Linked DNA regions of Nothobranchius furzeri. The protein of the gene in region 1 purifies or fractionates together with the protein of each later gene. This does not show direct contact. Links are inferred from orthologs where the notes say so. Each region holds a gene or a part of one and is shown on either strand. Other genes may lie near its edges.

The links.
Region 2: the proteins of nasp (region 1) and hat1 purify together in Homo sapiens (affinity purification with mass spectrometry; 3 studies listed by BioGRID and IntAct, with this or other methods). This does not show direct contact. The link is inferred for Nothobranchius furzeri from reciprocal best matches to the Homo sapiens genes NASP and HAT1.

The regions. Positions count from the first base shown.
Region 1 is NC_091748.1:71,312,441-71,315,165, reverse strand, and holds part of nasp (nuclear autoantigenic sperm protein), read right to left. Parts: intron 2,436-2,725; coding exon 2,079-2,435; intron 1,897-2,078; coding exon 1,838-1,896; intron 1,766-1,837; coding exon 1,695-1,765; intron 1,611-1,694; coding exon 1,537-1,610; intron 1,467-1,536; coding exon 1,278-1,466; intron 1,200-1,277; coding exon 1,027-1,199; intron 1-1,026. UniProt on the Homo sapiens protein: Component of the histone chaperone network. Binds and stabilizes histone H3-H4 not bound to chromatin to maintain a soluble reservoir and modulate degradation by chaperone-mediated autophagy.
Region 2 is NC_091754.1:20,781,821-20,785,644, forward strand, and holds part of hat1 (histone acetyltransferase type B catalytic subunit), read left to right. Parts: intron 1-2,553; coding exon 2,554-2,730; intron 2,731-2,806; coding exon 2,807-2,928; intron 2,929-3,473; coding exon 3,474-3,578; intron 3,579-3,824. UniProt on the Homo sapiens protein: Histone acetyltransferase that plays a role in different biological processes including cell cycle progression, glucose metabolism, histone production or DNA damage repair. Coordinates histone production and acetylation via H4 promoter binding.

The DNA.
Region 1 (2,725 bases):
ATGTTGAGTGCAATGGATGTCAATTAATTTTATGAAATGACCTGAAGACAGATTTTAGTTTTTGGCAGTGGAGACCTGTTGAAGGGTGCGGTGAGCCCACTTGGTTCCCTTTAGGATTTTGTAAAGCCTTATGTGAAAAACCTGGTTTTTTATGGATGCTTCGTTTAAACTGGACAGACAGGTAAGTGCAGTGGTCCCGTCTGGTTTTCATCACTTGAGGCAGCTTGCAAAGCTTAAGTGCTATTTGCCGGAAACGGTCTTTGAACATGTTATTCATCCCTTCGTCTCCTGTCGACTAGATTACTGCAATTCCCTGTACTATGGATTAGGGCATTCCGCCTTAAACTGCTTGCAACTGGTTCAAAATGCAAGGAAGCACGATCACATCTCTCCAGTGCTTGCTTCCCTTCACTGGCTGCCAGTGCATTGCAGGATTCAGTTTAAATGGTCGCTTCATGGTCTGGCCCCTCCTTATACGGATGATTTATGGTCACCCTACACTCCTGCCAGGAATTTGCGTCGGGCTCTCAGTTTTAGTCATCGGTTCCAACGGCTCGCCTAAAGACGAGAGGAGACGGGGCTTTTTCTGTGGCCGGTCCCACTCTGGAACGGTCTTCCTCTGCAGATCAGGACCTCACAAAGTCTGGATGTCTTCAAGTCCTTGCTTAAAACTCATTTATTCAACCCGGCTTTTATGTAAGATGTTTATTTTGTAATCGTCATTCTCTTTGATGCAACGCTGTTTTTATCTCAACTTGCTGATTTTTATGGTTTTTAGTTATACTTGTTCGCGATTCATCTTGTGTTGTACAGCACTTTGGGTTGCAGAAGCAATAATAAGTGCTTTAGAAATAAATGCGACTGACCTTGCTGCTGCCACCTAGTGACCAGAGGGGTTTAATGTTCCAGCACACAAAAAGATGCTACCCAGATTCTCCTGCCTCTCGTGCCAGACCACCCCTCATGCTCCTACAGGAAGGGCACGCCGCTACATGACAAACCCCGCTTTAACCCGTTTGTACTCACTAGGGTCTGCTGAATGGCCTGCGAGGCAGCGCTGGCTGTTCTCATGCTCTCCTTGGCATCTACCACCCTCTCTCTGATGTCCGGTAGAAGCTGATTGAGCTCTTCCATCTCCTTCTTCTCTTCTGTTGCACCGTCAGCTCCTTCTGCTGCGTCAATGATCTCCTGCAACATGGCTGCACACAAAGAAACGTGGACGGCCTCAAACAGGAGCTCTGATCATAGAAATCCTCACGAGGAAGCGCGAGTCCTACCCAGACGGGTCTCTATGACTTTTATGGAGCTGTTGTAGTGTTGAATGGCATGGCTGTAGTGGCCCATGTAGCAAAACGTCGTGGCGATATGGTAGTGGGTCTCAGCCAGCAGGCGACTGTGGGGGGGCAAGTGCGTCAGCTGCAGGGCGAGACAGTCCTGGAAGTCCACTAGGGCCTGAGGATAGTTCCCTGGGGACACAATCTGGTCAGATCCGGACTAAAACCCAAAAACAGTCTGCTCTGGAACTACAAATCTCACCGGATTCAGCGCTGACTTCTCCAAGTTTCAGATAAGCCTGGGCTGCCATCAGCTGCTCGTCTTTGCTCTCCTTTCTGCAGACGGGAAGAGGATTAGCGAGCAGGACAAATAAACGCTGCACGTGGAATTTTAAAATCCATCGCAGCATTAACACGCACCGTTTAAAGATGACTTTGGCGACCTCCAGCATCTCCCACGCCAGCTGCAAGTTCCCGACCTCGTCTTCCTCCTGCAGGGTAAAGACCAGGTTTACAACCAACACAACAAACCAACCACCACTACGGAGCACAGAGGAACGGACATCATCCTGAGCAGCTTTCTCTCCATCCTCTTCGTCCTCGTCGTCATCATCATCATCATCTGAAAATACACACAAAGACGGTTTTAACTCTGGGACACATAGGATAAAGGGAACGCTTAAACTAGGAAACAGATCCACCCAAGTGCTTCAGCGTGTCCCTTTACTTCACCGCCTGACCTGCATTAACCAGTGTTCAGCCCGACCCATCCACCCCTGTGCTCTGTATCCATAGATCTACTACCCTCGTCTTCTTCAGCCTCCGGATCAGACTCCTCATCTTTCATCTCCACAGATACCGCATCGTTTTGCTTTTCTGGTTCGGTTTGGTCTTCTCTGGCGTTAGGTCCTTCAGACTCTTCACCCACATCCTGTGCAGAAGCATCCGAGCCCGGCTGGACTGAACTCTTGGCCTCATTTTCACTGGAGCCTGAAGGCTCTTCAGATCCAGTCAGGCCGTGTTCATCAGAACCAGCCTCTTCCTCCACCTGGCTGCTGCTCGTCACGTCTTTGGACTCCAGCTTTAGGCCAACTGCCTCCATATTTGCCTCTTCTGCCATCGAGTCATAGACCTGCTTCCGCAGCTCTGCTCTGGTTTCCTCTGCACCAGAGTTGCACATATTGATCATCTGACATCAGTTTAATACAAATACACAAAAGGTCAGTTGTACTGCGCCGGCAACAGGGCTGAAGCCTGAATGCCCCAATTTTAATCAGAAAACAATCGCTGGGTTTCCCCCACATGACTGCAGTTGTGCAAAACTCAAACGGGGACAGGAAGTGTTTTGCTACTCTAAACACAGCTCGATAGATCAAAGCTAAGGCTTTAAATGAGCTGGCAGACAAAAAAAAGAAAATACATCTTCCTTTAGGTTATGACCCATGTAGTTC
Region 2 (3,824 bases), on another chromosome or scaffold:
CCGCTAAAAACTGCTAAATGTGCGCGTGCGGCGCGCTAAACACACGTGCAGGTTGCTCCTGATTGCTGTGAGACTGGGTTGGGGTGTGTGTGTGCAGCTGTGGTTGGGACAATTATTACATTAACTGATGGACTTGTAAATAAATAGTTTATAAATAAGGTAGAAATAGATAGAAATAAGTTCCTCACACTGATAACTAATCTCTCTGAGGACACGGTGCTAGTGCACGCTCCTACAGCACCTTGACACGACTAAATAAATGCTATGCAACATTTAGTGAACAGCAATTTGCATGTATTTGTTATAAATGCCACTGTATAATTCTTGCTGTCAGTATTTGCAAGATATTGGTATTTGGGTCTGTACTGGTTAGACTTAAATGAGTTAAACCAAGGTTTATAGCCCTTGGGTCATAGACTATGAGCTATAAGTATATTGGTCTTTTTATACTGGGAATCAGGAGTTATTTTAGTGACTGATTGTGCCCTGAGCAGTTTTATGACTGAATAAAAACAAATAAAATCAACATAAATTGAAAAATCATCTTAAATAATCGAGATCTCAATTTCAGTCACAACAATCGTGATTATTATTTTTGCCATAATCGAGCAGCCCTACCTAATACATAGGCATATAAAATGATGCTCTTAAAAAAAAGTTCAGCAAAGGACCCAGTCCATCGTTGACGGTCGATTAATTTGTCCACTCGCCCAGCATAAGAGTGTCTGTGTGACAGGTTGTAAATATGGTGGATGGCCTGTGTCTACACGAGCTCTGGCACTTCACTTGGTGCAAAGAAATCTCTTTTTTTCTTCAACTTGTCAGTTTTTGGTGTTGAAGAAACAAAACAGTTTTTTGGCTTGAAATTTTGCTCTCAAATAAGCTCATAATTCTGCTGGATGTAAACACAAATTAGCCAAACAAACGGTGTCTGGAAGCAAATCTACAGCGAATAAGATATTTACGACTATTATACTGAATTATTTTTCTAAATGTCCCTTAATTAGATTTAGAAAAAGGACATAAATACATCAACAAACAGCACTTTATTAAACATGAAAAGAGCCGCTCCTCTTCTTTGGGCAGCACAGCTTAGAGCCAACAATGAACCCGAAACGCAGTGTCAGTGTGCACCACTGCTCAGAGTTGACCGTTGACCCCATGAGTGTGGGTTCACCTTGTTAAGGGTTTGAGTGCAGCTGTCGGGCAGGCAGAGCGGCACAGTTCGGGCTTCGTCTGAAGAGCGTTTGTCTCTGAGTGCGTGTGGACGGTCGTGGTGCGGTGCAGCTGGCGAAGGGATGACGGGAGGCCGAGCTGGAGTTGATGCAGCTGCTACATTCATGCACGACGGCGACCAGAACTCACCTTCTCCTCTTTAAATTGGGCAAAAACACCACAATGCTGGACGTTTTCCAGAAAACCCAATTAGTTGATTGTTTTTAGTTTGTTTGAGCTACAAACTTGTAGTTTAATTCATCATTTTTGCACAGATTTAACCTGAAGAGTTTAAACTTACAAGCTCTAAGACGGCCCTTATAGTTGATTGAAGAGTTAAAAAAAACACAAATTAGACAACTAACAACTAATTAGATAGTTTATGCTTATTGTTGGAAAATCAAAGACATCAACTGACTGCTGCCAAGGAGCATTGTTGAGTTATATTCACGGCAAAGTGAAGCATCCATTCTGGAAGGCCATGCAATTCAGCATCTAGTATGCAGGAGAGTGGTTGGGACAAAGCGACTTGTTTGTCCATGGCCTTTTAAGTGTGGTCCTTGTTCTCCAGAAATGTGGCTGAACAATTACAATAGTTAAGAGGCATTCAGCTGCAGGTGCATTACTTCCAGTTAGATATTAGCTGATGTCTGAAAGGGGGGAATTAGCAGTATGTTGTATTAGCCTTTTGTAGTGCATTTTGCTCAGACCTTCTTCATTTCCCAGTTTTCAATGCGGAGCAGTGAGGGTCTCTGTGCTCCCATAATGCCCATCACACATGTAAATGGTGTGAAAGGGCTGCTTAGCAAAGTGTTCTCATGTCAATCCTTGTGGAAATGGATACAATGCAAACATTACAGCTGAACTAACCACACGTTCTACCGAGTAAAAAGTCCAGGGGAAGGGCCCCTTTGTCTCCGAGGCCCTTTGAAAAACGCGGGGGCCAGATTCATTTGATTGGGTTCACTTGGCAGGATTAGAGGAGAGGCCTCTTATTATGGATGCCCAAAGGTTTGTTAAGCTGAAATCAATTCATAAGATTTTTTTTTCTTCTCAGTGAGAAGCAGAAATGTGTTTATTGAGGCAACTTCATCACATATTCATGGTTCAATCTAAGTGGTAAATGTACAGATTTAAGTGGCCTTGTCGGGGTGGGGAGGTGCCGAGGACTTTGCTCAGCTGACAGTTTTAATTGCCTAATGGTTTTCTTTTCAGCGTCTCTAAAAACGTGTGCTTTGAGTTTTTTTTTGCCGCTTTGGCCAAACAAAAAACAGAAAGACTAAAATTTCCTGCTGGTGTTTTCAAGTTAATGAGTCCAGCTTTATTGTTTTCATCCAGCCGGATGATGTCGGAGGGAAAATCCGGGAAATAATCCCAGCTGGTTTCACCTCCAGCACGGATGACTTCATCTCGCTGTTGGAGAAGGAGGCCAAGTTCAAGCCCTTCGGCACCCTGCTTCACTCGTACACGATCCACAATGAGGAGGCCGGAGAACTCACCTACCAGATTCACAAGGTACGCGCAAACCACGCTCATAATCTCACCAACTCATCAGAGGAAGACGTAAACGGTTTTATTAAACTGGGCCCAGGCTGACATCACCTGCCCTGGATTCCAAGAGTACCACGAGCGCCTGCAGACCTTCCTCATGTGGTTCATCGAGACCGCCAGCTTCATCGACACAGACGACGATCGTTGGGACTACTTTCTCGTGTGAGTAGCCTCCTTAATTGACACTAACCCCCCAGCTTTACCCTTAAAGCCTTTTATTGTGTCATTGAAAAACAAAGCCCCCCTTTGAGGCGCTTGTGACCAATTACCAGGCCGGTTTGATTATATTTCCCCATGTAGGAGAATTGTTGATCAGGCAAGAGCTTTCTTTGTGCCCAGAGCCCCTTTCAGATTTTTCTGGGGCAAGAGTTGAATTGAATACTGTTGTCTTTTGAAACACTGAACAATGTCCTAACAGTAAAAAGAGCCTCTGCCAGTGTTTTCTTTACCCTGGCACTTATTAATAGTCACAATAGGCAAAATGGACTGAAGTGATGTTGAGGAGCTCAAACCCTCCTCCAAGCCCTTCTCTTCCTCTAAGTTGCAGTACTCCAATTAAGTGCATAATGTATTCATGTTGTAGCAGGTGTACCAATCGGGCCCTGGCTGCTCCTGACGAGGGGGGCACGAGAACAGAGAAGCTAAAACGGACACTGCATGGGAGTGTGCCTGTAATTGACCTGTTTGCCTTTGTGTTTCATCTGCAGATTTGAAAAGTACAATAAAGACGGGGAGACTCTCTACGCAACTGTTGGCTACATGACCGTTTATAATTACTACGTGTACCCAGACAAAACCAGACCACGTGTAAGGTAATTGCTGGGGCAGCACGTGCCTTCCCATTCTTTTGTATAAGAAAAGGAGTGGAAAATTATACATTTCTTTATCCCTTTTCCCCCCAAAAGCCCAAATTACTGGCTTATATAGCCAACCATTGAAGCAGATTTTGTTTCAGAACCAAACCGGGCTGATTTGTATCTGAAAACAACTGTATAGATAAGCCTTTGATGTGATTTGATTCGTTGCATGGATGAATCGGTGCGGCGGTCTATTATTTG